3 linked regions of the Macaca mulatta genome follow. The protein of the gene in region 1 binds, or shares a complex with, the protein of each later gene. Links are inferred from orthologs where the notes say so. Each region holds a gene or a part of one and is shown in the gene's direction. Other genes may lie near its edges.

What was found.
Region 2: the proteins of NAA35 (region 1) and NAA38 are in contact, whole or in part, in a cryo-EM structure (PDB 7MX2), measured with the Homo sapiens proteins. The link is inferred for Macaca mulatta from reciprocal best matches to the Homo sapiens genes NAA35 and NAA38. Residues at the interface, in NP_001308810.1 of Homo sapiens: Val30, Asp31, Ile32, Thr33, Phe36, Ala39, Cys40, Leu43, Leu45, Glu47, Leu48, Leu49, His50, Asp51, Phe54, Glu58, Ala59, Ala62, Ile63, Glu64, Met65, Met66, Ala72, Gly73, Met74, Gln306, Arg307, Leu309, Pro310, Pro311; in NP_001307854.1 of Homo sapiens: Ala41, Arg42, Leu45, Glu46, Leu48, Leu49, Arg61, Phe67, Leu68, Cys69, Thr70, Asp71, Arg72, Cys74, Ile77, Arg97, Val98, Leu99, Gly100, Leu101, Ala102, Met103, Val104, Pro105, His108, Ser111, Ile112, Glu113, Val114.
Region 3: the proteins of NAA35 (region 1) and NAA30 are in contact, whole or in part, in a cryo-EM structure (PDB 7MX2), measured with the Homo sapiens proteins. The link is inferred for Macaca mulatta from reciprocal best matches to the Homo sapiens genes NAA35 and NAA30. Residues at the interface, in NP_001308810.1 of Homo sapiens: Leu45, Gly46, Leu48, Leu56, Ala59, Met60, Ala62, Glu64, Lys69, Glu121, Phe313, Pro314, Arg315, Ala444, Leu510, Glu511, Leu512, Glu517, Pro605, Lys606, Phe607, Glu608, Leu609, Asp610, Val614, Arg615, His618, Arg619; in NP_001011713.2 of Homo sapiens: Glu221, Pro238, Ser240, Tyr242, Thr243, Arg245, Tyr246, His249, Asn250, Lys304, Ile324, Glu334, Asn335, Leu336, Gly337, Val339, Arg340, Asp341, Lys342, Arg343, Phe345, Arg346, Tyr347, Tyr348, Leu349, Leu359, Trp360, Leu361, Arg362.

Annotation. Positions count from the first base shown.
Region 1 is NC_133420.1:116,830,224-116,834,767, forward strand, and holds part of NAA35 (N-alpha-acetyltransferase 35, NatC auxiliary subunit), read left to right. Parts: intron 1-781; coding exon 782-918; intron 919-1,714; coding exon 1,715-1,782; intron 1,783-2,469; coding exon 2,470-2,610; intron 2,611-2,913; coding exon 2,914-3,036; intron 3,037-4,544. UniProt on the Homo sapiens protein: Auxillary component of the N-terminal acetyltransferase C (NatC) complex which catalyzes acetylation of N-terminal methionine residues. N-terminal acetylation protects proteins from ubiquitination and degradation by the N-end rule pathway.
Region 2 is NC_133421.1:9,360,927-9,364,678, reverse strand, and holds NAA38 (N-alpha-acetyltransferase 38, NatC auxiliary subunit), read left to right. Parts: upstream 1-1,813; 5' UTR 1,814-1,909; coding exon 1,910-1,990; intron 1,991-2,175; coding exon 2,176-2,384; intron 2,385-2,525; coding exon 2,526-2,643; 3' UTR 2,644-2,689; downstream 2,690-3,752. Other genes in the region: CYB5D1 (cytochrome b5 domain containing 1), read right to left, coding at 199-723, 850-926, 1,082-1,241; TMEM88 (transmembrane protein 88), read right to left, coding at 3,661-3,752.
Region 3 is NC_133412.1:130,499,035-130,503,773, forward strand, and holds the start of NAA30 (N-alpha-acetyltransferase 30), read left to right. Parts: upstream 1-1,643; 5' UTR 1,644-1,741; intron 1,742-2,006; 5' UTR 2,007-2,007; coding exon 2,008-2,781; intron 2,782-4,739. UniProt on the Homo sapiens protein: Catalytic subunit of the N-terminal acetyltransferase C (NatC) complex. Catalyzes acetylation of the N-terminal methionine residues of peptides beginning with Met-Leu-Ala and Met-Leu-Gly.

The DNA of each region.
Region 1 (4,544 bases):
GAGAGGAAAAGGCTGCATCTTAGTTGTCCCCTTCACTCATGTGTCCTTAGGTTAGATAAACAGAAGGTAGACGGCACCGTCAGTTCCCTATAGAAATCCTTCACTTGAATTAAGGTATATGAGTTGTTACGGACTCTCACATTTTGTAGGGTGGCAGGGAAACAAAATTCAGTTATATACTGTAAAAGGGTACTATAGTAAATGTTTTTCTTAAATTCAGGGCCAGGAATTGTTTACTCTCCATATGTAATTATAGGTCTTACTATTATTGATTATGTTACGAAGTGTGTGTATATATATATGTCTCCTAGATTTGAAGACTTTTCTGGCTTAGCAGTGTTAAAGTTCTGAAAAATTAGTGTCTGGTAGAATGTTCTGTTTTATATTTTGTTTATTAAACTCAAGTAAATTGTAAATGTGAATGTTCTTAATTTTTAAGAATGATTGTATAATGCCAATAATTTTTTATCTTTTTCTGATTTTATTTGTGATTAAAATATTTATAGACTGAACTGAACTGTGTTCTGATATAATGAAAACTTAATGGGTATTCATTTGATTTGCATATGTACATGTATAATTATCAGGAAATCTGGAAAGTTGTAAAATGTTGAAAGGGAAAATTGATCCTTGTGTTCATTTCTTGTAAGATCTATAATCGAATGATCTGTTTTTAAAGACCTAAAGCATTATTTGAAGTGTCTATTGTTGTTAATATATGTGTTGATAAAGCTGTCTCATTTAGACATCTACCATTAACTAACATTTTGTATCCTTTAAGGTATCTCTCTGAATTCCTTTACGCATGGTTGATGTCAACATTGAGTCGTGCAGATGGCTCTCAAATGGCAGAGGAAAGGATAATGGAAGAGCAGCAGAAAGGCCGTAGTAGTAAAAAAACAAAGAAAAAAAAGAAAGGTGCTGTGGATTATTTTTAAACTTAAAAACAGAATGTACTTTAATTTCTACAAATAAATAGATGGAGCTACTTGTGAGTTAGTCATTATATTTTAGCTCTTGTTCCTTTTCTTTTCAGAAACTATAAGGTAGAGACTGAGTCCCAGTATTAATGACATAAGCTTTTTGGTTCCTTTCCTTGCTTTCATTTCTTTGCTGTTCTATCAGAATCTTTGATCAAGAAGTAGCCACGTGGCGTGTGCAAGCAAGATACAGGTTAGGGGACAAGACAGCAGGAGGCCATGGACCTTTTGACAGAGCCTGATAGCTCAGGAGGGCAGTAGTTCTGGAGCTGTGCTGTGGTAGTGGGCACCAAAAGGTGCCTTGAAGAACCATGAGGACAGAGAACTGTTTCAAAGGGACTGCCCTATTGATCACTTAGGGAAGGCTATAGATATTGCTACAATTATGGTAAAATACTGTTTCATATTTCCTCAGGACTTAAAGCAATTTGGAGGGGTCATTAAATCACTGTATTCATGGGTTTCCTTTAAAAGGTTAAATCTCTGGTGAATTCAGAAAAGTTATAATTACTTTATACTGGAATTTTATAGTATTAGCTATTTGGGGACATGATTATTATATTTTATTATTTGTAGATTTTGACCATAAATAACATTTAACCTGTAGGAACAAACTGAAGTTTTAATTTAGTATACAAGCTGGAAGATTTTTTAAAATTAGATTTTCTTTTCCAATAATGCAAGAGGAAGGAGGAAGAGATTATGGAAGATTATGTTTTTCTTTCTAATTACAGTTCGCCCTTTGAGCCGAGAGATCACAATGAGCCAAGCATATCAGAACATGTGTGCTGGGATGTTTAAAGTAAGTTGTTGAAAGTAAAGTTCTTTTTACCTTTTAGCTGTATGTCTATTATATAGTTTATTTAAACTCTTTTCTGTGGTTCTTTCCAGATTGTAATTTCACCTTTGTTTTACTTTATCTGCTTGAGGATTACCTTTATTATCATTAATTTGTTCAACAACCATTTGAACCCTTGCTATGTGTGAGATACTTTGTACTGAGTACATTGCAGGGGATACCAATTCTATATGGTCCTTGTTTCAAGTCTGTAGCAACAGACCAGTTGATGTGTCTGTGACAGGTAGTAAGAAAAGGCAGAGAGTACTAATGATTGATGATCAGGCAAGGCTTCCTGGAAGAGATGGAGGTTAGGTTTTTTAGGAGTGTATTTGGAAGAGGGTGAGCTCCACAACCAATGACTTAAGCAAAAGCAGGCCTTTTCAAGAGGCAGTGGGTACTAACTCTTAAGTTGTACTTGGCAGTCCAAGAAATCATTTGAGGCAACTTACATGAAAATGCATAAAGCAAAACATGGACTTTGTTTGAAAATAGGACCTGTGCTTATGACAATTATATGTCCTCATTTTTTCAGAAGCGTTTACTTGAAGGTTTTAAATAGCTGTTTCTTGTCTTCTATTCCGTATTGATGAGAGTGTTCGCTTTTTTCATATTGATTTCATCTTTTTTCTTGTTCCCTTTTTCATTTAGACCATGGTTGCATTTGACATGGATGGCAAAGTACGTAAACCGAAGTTTGAGCTTGATAGTGAACAAGTTCGGTATGAGCACAGGTTTGCTCCGTTCAACAGTGTGATGACCCCGCCGCCCGTGCATTACTTACAATTCAAGGTGAACCTGCTCAAGGAAATCGTTCAGAAATCTTCAGTCTTAGACCTTCTTAGAGAGATGCTGTTTGTACCTAGCCATCTTGTTAAATTTACAGTTATTTAAATTGTAAGAATAATGTGAGGTAGCATATGAGGGTTGAGAATTACATATTACCTAGGGAAAAATAGGGAGATGTGCCAAATGTTTGCCCCAGTGTCTGTATATGAGTGGATAGAAAATGTAGAATTCTTTAATAATTAGAAATGGGAGTTTAGAGTTGTTCATATTAAACATGTTTTGAATTATATTTCCCCTTCTTTTTAGGAAATGTCTGACCTCAATAAATATAGCCCTCCTCCTCAGTCTCCTGAATTGTATGTGGCAGCTAGTAAGCACTTTCAGCAGGCAAAAATGATATTGGAAAATATTCCTAACCCGGACCATGAGGTAAGACTGGATTCACAGTAATTTTAAGGGAAAAGCGTGGCAGGAAATACATCTCTTACTGCTGGATGAAAGTTAATTATGAAAGTGAACTTTAATAGTGTTAGTGAATATAACTTGTCATGTTTCTGTGAAAGATTTTGGATAGTTTTGTCAAACTAACCTTGTCAGACTTCAAGTTATTTTAAGAATGAGGTGATGTAAATACCTGCTTTGTGTAAATTTAGAAGTCAATGCAAAGACAAATTATGACTCACAGTCATGAAGTAAAAAGGATAAGCATAAGATCCAGACTGATCTGATTCATAGCTCAAAATGTTAGCATTGAAACATTTCTGGTTTAATCAGTTTGTTAAGGGGGCCGGGCGTGGTGGCTCACACCTGTAATCTCAGCAGTTTGGGAGGCCCAGGTGGGTGGATCACCTGAGGTCAGGAGTTTGAGACCAGCCTGGCCAACGTGGTGAAACCTCGTTTCTACTAACAGTGCAAAAAATTAGCTGGGCATGGTGGTGCATGCCTGTCTGTAATCCCAGCTACTTGGGAGGCTGAGGCAAGAGAATCATTTGAACCCCAAGGTGGAGGTTGCAGTGAGCCAAGATTGTGCCGTTGCACTCTAGCCTGGGCGACAAGCGAAACTCCATCTCAAAAAAAAAAAACAAAATTATTAAAACGTAACTAAGTTTTACATAAATATGAAAAATGACCTGGCCAGTTGTCACAGAAACCACCTTATTCCACTTGACCATTTAAAATAAAGGCTATTGCTTTTGAAGACTCTGAGATATCAAAATAAACTTGGGGAAAAAAATTGTTTCAGGCTTTTGGTATTTTAATAATTTACCATATCCCTAATTTTATTGAAATACATTTATTTTCTAAAAGTTACCTGTAATGCGCACATACTGTTTTGGGAAGTATATCTTGGGACCACTTCCACAGAGGGGTAGCTTAGCAGTATTTGTCAAAAATCATTAATGCTTAGATCCAGCAGTTCTGCTTTTTGGGATTTATATAGATACATGAACACATACAGGAAGTGAGAGTGATGAACATAAGAGTATTCATTGCAGCAGGATTTCTAATAGCAAAAAGCAGGAAGAAACAGTATCCATCAACAGGGGACTGATACATGATGATACATTCATACAGTGGTATACTACCCAGCCTTAAGGAGGATGAGGAAGCTCTTTACGTACTGTGATGGAATGCTCCGTATGATTTAAGAAATCTAAAAAGAAAGGCGCACTTTAATATGCATAATATGGTGCAGTTTCAATCAAAGGGGGCAAGGGAAGCCTATATGTATGTGTGCGAGTATAAAATATCTTTAGAAAGATAATATCAGAATTGGTAGTTTTGTTTCCTTCCTTGGAGGGAAGCAGAGTGCCTGGACGAGGGATAGGGGAGACACGTTTTAAAAATGATATGTACCATCTAAGAAAATATAAAGGGGGAGTCTAAACATTTGAGGAGCTACCTATGATAGATGACATATTTCATTTAGTGAAACT
Region 2 (3,752 bases), on another chromosome or scaffold:
TATACACACTAGGATCAAAGTGCCTCCCTTGGCAGATAGCAGCTTCAGGTAATCTACGGCCCCAGAAAAAAAGCTGAAACTCCAGCATGCAATGAACAGGCCCAAAAGACCTACAGCTCTTAATGGCAGCCACTTCTAACTACCAGATGGCCATAAAGGGTCAACTGTCCCCTCACTATATCCATGCAATAGAGTAGATTAAAAAGAAAGTTCAATTGCTGTCCAAAACAGCGTGTAAGAGTTTTGAAGGACCACCATCACTAAGATGCATAAACTGCTGTTCCCAGGCTTATAAAGGAGTCTCTTGTCCCCGTGTGACCCAGACACTCCTAGAATTACCAACCCTGGGGACCTAGGTGCTGTGCTTTCCTCAGTTGCCTCAATGTAAAGGGCAGAAAATACACTCCCACTGGTTATGGAAAAAAATGTTGCCCTGCAGATCGGCCTGGAGATTTGCTGGGATTCCCCATTCCCTCTAACCTGCTCCTTGTCACCAGTTCTCACCTCCAGTGTGTGCTCCTGCGACGTGAGTGTGTTAATGATGCGGATGCTCCGGGTCTTGGCAGACAGCCGCCCCACCTCATAATACGACCCCTGCCACCAGGGCTTCCCAAAATCGTTGGCCCAGTCCGAACAGGGCAGCTGAGGCGGAACGTGCACAAAGCGACCCCGCGGGGTGCAGTACCTCAGGCAGCCGGTCAGCGGATCTATGTGCTTGCGGATCTTTAAAGGAGGGTTTGGGGCGAGGGGATCAGAGCAGTCATTATGCTCTGGCTAGCCTCCGCTTTTCCTTCCCATCCCCGCTCTCCATTGCCTCTACCCACAACCCCAGATTTCAGCATAACTCACGTCTTTGGTCTTTGGATCAAACCAGTGGCTGATGTCCTGGCCTGCAACTTCCACTATAGGTTTCAGCAGCAGGTTCCCTTGAAAAGAGCAGCCACGGTCAATGCCAGCCCTTCAAGAACCAGGCAGACGCGCGCGCGCGCCCGCACACACACACACACATACACACACACACACACACACACACACACACACACACACACACTCCGGCCCCGGCCCAACGTGTGACCCTTACCCTTGTATTCCTGTGCCAATGACGTTAGGTCGTACACGCGTCCCAAGTAAGATACCCAGAGGTCTTCGGGCCTGTTATGTTGGGCCACCTCCGCCGGCGTGAAATAGCGACGCTGAAAATACTCCAAATCTGGCCCAGCCACCAGGCCCCGGCGCGGCATGGCTCTTGCTCTGTCAGTCACTGGCTCTCTTGGTTACTCCTTTGCTCCTCAGCACGCACTCACTACTACTACGACCTCCGTCGCGTCCGGGAGCCGAGGGGAGAGCGTTTATCCGCTGACATGGAAACCATTGTCCTTTTCCGGCCACCGTCCACTGAGATAAATATCAGGAGGTGAGGCTTGGACCGCACGTGTTCACGGGAAATGTAGTATGAGTCCCACACGGGGCATATAAGGATCAAGTAATTGAGTTGCGCCGCTTTCAGGAGTTGGGGGTGGGCAGAAAACGAATACGCTCCGTTTTAATTTAGCGGCCTGGGCTACATGGGATATTTATGACAGACTATCTCTCTGAGACAGAAAAACAAGGGAGGAGGCAGTATGAGAGTGTATTCTCGCTAAATTCCAGAGTTTCTAAAGGATGTGTAAGAAAGTAGAGGTAAAGGTCTCGCGATATCGTAAGACATCCGGCGTGGTACGCTTCAGTGAGCCACAGCGCTAGAAGTAGGAGAAGCTCGCGAGATCTCTGCCGTTGCCGAGGAGACTAGGAGGTGGAGGAGAGGTGATCTCGCGAAAGGAAAGCGGTCGGGAGCGCTCGCGAGATCTCGGACCACCCAACCTGAAAGGTGCTTAGGAAGTTGAAAGGCCCAGAGGAGGCCTCCGGGCAAATGGCCGGAGCTGGACCGACCATGCTGCTACGAGAAGAGAATGGCTGTTGCAGTCGGCGTCAGAGCAGCTCCAGCGCCGGGGTTAGCACGGGCTCTGGTTCTGGGATTGAGGGGCAGTCGAGCAGCAAGATGGAGGGGGTGGGGGAACTGCAGCTCCCGGCAGCCTCTGGGCGTTGTGTGAGCGCCCCGCGGGCTGCCGGGAGCTGTGGTTCCGCGGGCGGGCAGCCGGGACTGCGCGGTCTGAGCGCTTGTTCCACCCCGCGCAGGATTCGGACGGAGAGCGCGAGGACTCGGCGGCTGCGCGCGCCCGGCAGCAGCTAGAGGCGCTGCTCAACAAAACTATGCGCATTCGCATGACAGATGGACGGACACTGGTGGGCTGCTTCCTCTGCACTGACCGTGACTGCAATGTCATCCTGGGCTCGGCGCAGGAGTTCCTCAAGCCGTCGGGTCAGTGCCTGGGGAATGCACACCCGCCTGGAAATGTGGCGGAACCTTACGCAAGGCATTTCCCCTTCAGGGCCTGGCTGCAGCCCTTGTTTTCTGGGGCTCGTTTTTGTGGCTCAGAGGGGCGGTACTGATGCCGGCCTGCTTCCCTGATCCTCTGATCCTTCTTTCCAGATTCCTTCTCTGCCGGGGAGCCCCGTGTGCTGGGCTTGGCCATGGTACCCGGACACCACATCGTTTCCATTGAGGTGCAGAGGGAGAGTCTGACCGGGCCTCCATATCTCTGACCACGGTGGCGCATACCTTTCAGACTTCATTAAACTTACGACCGAATGGACCTGTGTCTGTGTGTAGCTGGGATGCCAGTACAGGGATAGGACACCCCACCCCTAGAGGAAAGGACTCATCTGAAGTCGGGAGCACCCTCAACCCTCCTCTACCAACCGGGATGTCCAGGGGTGCCAAAGGTTCTCTCAAGTTCAGGGGTAGAGATGGGGGACAGGGCTGAATGATGCACCAACAGGCCCCAGGGTGGGCCCCTGCATCTTCCCTCCCACGCTGCTGCTCCAGAATTGTGGCGGGAGGGGGTGTCATCCTGCTCCGGAAGGCCCATTGTTTCCCACCCCGGCCTGGCAACACCGAGTTCCTTTAAGCTGGGGTCAGAGAACGGGCTCAGGTCCCCAAGGGGAGCAGGGGCAGGCGGCCGAGGCTGGGCCCCCTCCACTCTATTGATGGGGAGGTGCCTGGGGTCAGGGACAGATCTCTGAGTTCTGGCCAGGAAGAACGGACAAAAGCGATAAGGCCAGGGGGCTGAAGGATGCTCCTCTCTGCTCATTTGTGGCCCTGGCACATGTTTCCTGTTCCTCGGCACAGGGCAGGGGTGATAGTACTTGTGCCACTCCTGTGTTTGCAGAGCACGTTGAGTTCGTTAAATCTTTATTGATGCGTGGACACTCCTTCCCCTCCAGCCCCGCCCCCCAGCCCCGGAAATACTGGAGGAGCTGCACCTTAAAAGGAGGGCACGAGATTGTTGTCCCATTCACGACGGGGCTGAGGGGAAGGTGTGCAGGTTCCAGCCCAGATGTTCAGGATTGAGATGTGGGTAGTGAAAGGAAAGTGGGTTTTCCGGGATGTGGGGGCTTTCCTCAGCATTGGGTCCACTGACGCTGCTGCTCCCAAGGGGATGCTAGGACTCCGCTCAGGCAGGGGTGGGGGCAGGGCAGGTCGGAAGATGCCGGGCTTCAAGTCCTTGGGCCGAGTAAGAAGGAGGGCAGCCGTCAGGGTTGTTCTTGACTCGAGGGTCATTAGACCCAGACCTTTCCTGATGTAGGAACGGCCTGGGACCCTGGTGAGGCCCGGGTTTGCCGCGGATGCGGCGCGCGCCGACGCCGATAAA
Region 3 (4,739 bases), on another chromosome or scaffold:
GATTCTCCTCAGCCTCCTGAGTAGCTGGGACTACAGGTGTGAGCTACCAAGCCCAGCTAATTTTTGGTATTTTTTGGTAGAGATGACGTTTCACTGTGTTGGCCAGGCTGGTCTCGAACTCCTGGCCTCAAGAGATCCTCCTGCCATGGTCTCCCAAAATGCCGGGATTACAGGCGTGAGCCACCGCACCTGATTAGAGACTACATGACTTCTAAGGCTAGGTCATAAAGGGCAATATGCTTTTGACTGACTTTCTCGCACGATACTTGCCGTTGGAACCCAGCTACCAGGATGTGACAAAGCCCAAACCAATCAATGCTAAAAGACCAACGGGAGAGGTCTACATGGACTAAAACTGAGGCCTCCAGCCTTTAGCCTGCATCAACCACCAGCTGTGAAATTGAAGTTTTCAAGTAATTCTACTCCTCAGCCTTGGAGTCTTCCAATTGAAGCCCTACGCATAATGGAGTAGAGAAAAGCCATCCCAGCTGTGCTCTGTCTGGATTTCAGAGCCACAGAATCTATGAGCATAATAGTTATTTTATACGTAGAGTTTAGATTATTGCAAAAAGTTGCCAACATGTTCCGTCATAGAATTATATACCGCAAACGTCCATCTGCGGCACACCAAACCAGCTGTATAAATCAGGTTTTTAACACAACCGAATTTGTTCAGTGTGCGGGTTACATACACTGTCTCAGCTCACACCTGCCGGGAGTCAACTGTGGACTAGAGCAGAAGGAGCCCAGTCACAAGCTCAAGTTCTATCCCCTTTGCACTCAATAGGCAGATCCCTTGGGAGGATCAGGCCACCTGTTTACCAGTGAATTCTTCCTAACCTATTTGTGTCACAAGTTTAGGATTGTGCTTCTTAGCCCTGGTCACAGTCTTTCACCATCTCGCTCTAACCCTTCCCCAGGTGTGCTCGCAATTGCCCAACACCTGTCAGTCACTTTTGCCTCCAATTTTACTGGGCGCGAGGAGCAGAGTAAGGAGAGAGAAGAGGGCTGATTCCCTTGCCGCTAAGTGGCAAGGGCCAGCTGAACTTAATTCAAACTGCAAACGACCACGTTTCGACAGCCATCCCCATATTTTCACAGCTCAAAGCTTCCTTTCCTTTTCGGTCGGCTTCCCTGATTTGCTCCATTTTTAATCGCTCCTCCCCCATCCTCCTTGCCCCTGGTCAGGGCAAACATTAAACGCTGTGCAGCTTTAAAAAGGCATTTTTAGGTGACTTGTAAACGGCTGGTTCCAGAGGCCCCGAATTGGCGAGATTCGCTACAGCTCCCAGTGCACGGTAGACTTGAAGCAGGGAGCGCCTGCCCGGTACATCCCTCCCCGGCCCCGCGTGGCAAGCACCACGGGTTGAGGCGCCCCAGAACCGAGGAGAAGGGTTTGGGAGGCTGTGACTCCAAAGCCCTCTGCAACTTCCCGGCCCCAGAGCCCCACCCACTACCACGCGGCCTTCCCCGCAGCCCGCAGGAGACACCTTCGTCCCCGCCCCTCCACAGGTCACCTCCCTCCACGCCCCTCTCTCTTGGCCGGGGCAGCCGGCAGGCAGGGAAGTGTCGTAAAGCCAGGCCCAGGAAACTTTACCCGGGGTAACAGCCGAGGCGCTTTACGGCGACGGCGGCTGAGTGAGAGCCTTGGAGGCTGTGGAGGCGGCCGCGGCTGCGAAGGAGGCGGCCGCAGTGGCTGAGGAAGAGGAGTGGCGGCAGCGGCGGCGGGGACCCGTGCGGGGTGAGCCGCGAGGAGGGGACGGGGAGGGGCCGCGAGTGACAGGGCTGGCGGGTGGGCCCGGGCGGACGGGGACGGTGGCCGGTTGAGCAGCTGGGCGGCGCTGAAGAGCGGGGGGGGGTGGCGCGGAATTGGGGGGGCAGCTCCGTGAGGGACGGTTTCTGTCTTTGTTCCCCCCACCTCGGCCGCCCCCCACCCGCCGCCCCCTCTTTTCCGCGCTCTTCGGCCGGGTTTCATGGCCTCCCCTCTCGGTCTGTGTCGCTTCTAGGATGGCGGAGGTACCGCCTGGGCCTAGCAGCCTCCTCCCACCACCAGCACCTCCGGCCCCGGCGGCGGCCGAGCCCCACTGTCCCTTCCCGGCGGGGGCCGCCCTCGCCTGCTGCAGCGAGGACGAGGAGGACGACGAGGAGCACGAAGGCGGCGGCGGCGGCAGGAGCCCGGCGGGCGGGGAGTCGGCGACTGTGGCGACCAAGGGGCATCCGTGCCTCCGCTGCCCTCAGCCGCCGCAGGAGCAGCAGCAGCTCAACGGATTGATTAGCCCCGAACTGCGGCACCTCCGGGCGGCCGCCTCCCTCAAGAGCAAGGTCCTGAGCGTAGCCGAGGTGGCCGCGACCACGGCCACCCCTGACGGAGGCCCCAGAGCGACTGCAACAAAAGGAGCCGGGGTACACTCGGGCGAGAGGCCCCCTCACTCCCTCTCTAATAATGCAAGAACTGCGGTCCCCAGCCCGGCGGAGGCAGCGGCGGCCAGCGATCCCGCGGCGGCCCGCAATGGACTGGCCGAGGGCACCGAGCAGGAGGAAGAGGAGGAAGACGAGCAGGTGCGGCTGCTGTCTTCGTCCCTGACCGCCGACTGCAGCTTAAGAAGCCCTTCGGGCAGGGAGGTTGAGCCTGGAGAGGATCGGACGATACGATATGTCCGATATGAATCCGAGCTACAAATGCCCGATATCATGAGACTGATCACCAAAGATCTGTCCGAACCCTACTCCATTTATACCTATAGATATTTTATCCACAACTGGCCACAGCTGTGCTTCTTGGTAAGTGGATAGAATAAAAAGAGGGTGAACCCAGCAGTGATCCAGACTGTGCGGGGCAGGGAGCGAGGGCCCAGAGTGTGGCAGTGGATATCTCCTGCTGCTTATCATAGTACGTTATATGGTGTCAAGTGCGTGTACACATTCCTAGTTATTTAATGAAACTGTTTTGAAGGTAAGACTTCATGATTCGGGTTAACGTGATACTAGTGTAACTGCAGCAAGCCTGTATGGTGGCGTGTTTCACTGGGGTGGGGGTCTTGTGTCTTGTTTACATTAGATTATAATCGTGTTTAACCGTCTTTAATTGCCTGCCCGCATCCTCAAACACTTCACAGTAATTTAATTTGAACATGGTTCTGTTTGGATAGAGGCCTTTTAGTCTCTCAGTTACAACTATAATCAGGGAAGAGTGTATGCATAAACATGTTTTGGTGAACATGAATGTCAGCAAACTTGGTGTGGCCATATTGGAGAATTAAATCTTACAAGCATTTTCAGTAATTATGGAGATGTTTCCCTTTACTTCAACAGGACAATGAACAGTTGTAGCCAGCCTGCTTTCTGGTACTCCATTGCAGAAAGCGCTACTAACACTATTGGTGACTGAAAGACTCCTGAAACTTGAACAAAAATACCCTTTTGTGGAATGTAGAAAACTTAAGTGTGAAATTGTTACCGATCTGATTTTATTTTTTTTTAATTTAGAAACTGGTTGAAGATGTGGCCAAACACTAGTAACACTGGCTTGTGTAAATTATAATTGGCAATAATATTACACATAAGTGAAAGACTTTGGACAGTTTTTAAAAATTTACGTAGTATTGGCAGTACCAGTAATTTCTTCACAATAATATTGGCCCATTTCAGTCTCTATGAACCCTTTAACTTAACTGTTGACTGCAGGTGTATGCTTTGTATCATGTACTCACAAGCATATTGTTTCTAGATGACATCCATTTAAGGAATATTTTATAATATGTGAAGGGAAAAGCCACCGTTACTTAGTGTTTTAGCATTGGCTTAGTTTCACTTAGTAATTCCCTGCAAGATATTTTGACAATACTTCCCTGTCCTTTTGATTATCTAGCTTGGTGGTAATTTGAAAATGTAACCTGGGTATTGTAGATAATGGTAGTTCTATTTTCTGTCTTAACTTTGCTTAAACTTCAGTACATTTGTTTAAACTGTGGGTGCTATTTTATGTTCTTGAAAACTGCTCTTTCAGTATTCTAAGCATTGTATCAGAATAGTTCTAAGACATGTCTATGTCAGTGAATATGAGAAAATGATTTATAGCAGTATTATAAATGTCATATCAAATGCCACTGTAATTGCTAAAAATTGCAGATTTAGTTGTAAGTTAACCCACAGAAGCAGATGATTGAGTCACATTTCAAATTGAAATAGATGTTTTTCTGTCAATTCCAGGAAATTGTTGTGTATATAATATTCAGTCAACTTTTGAGTCCTGATGTTTACCTAAGCCTTTCTCAACTTGTCTGCCATTTTAGACTCTGGTCAACAATATTAGTAAACTTTAGTTTTGATTTTATGTAGAACCCTTCCAATTCACCAGCTAATGTGTGTGTTAGCCTTTAGTAGCTCGTTTGTTTAATATTAAATTCTGAATATCTAGAAATTGCAATATGCACAAGTGGTTGACCTATAAGATTTACTAGTGCCAGTATGAATCAGGAGGTATTAAACAATAATAAAACAGTAGTTAAAAAACAACCAGGCCATTTAAAACTGAAACCTTTATCTTGGCATACTTTTACATTTAAGTTTCCCATAGGAACTATTTTTTAAAAAATGCAAATGCGTAAATGTGTATGTTTATTTTAAATCATAACCTTTTAGAACTGAAAGGCATCCTAGAGATAATCCAGCCCAACTTAGGTTTTGTTCTGTTTTGGTTTTTGATTGAAAAAAAGAACCAAAGTGACTCAAAATGTTTC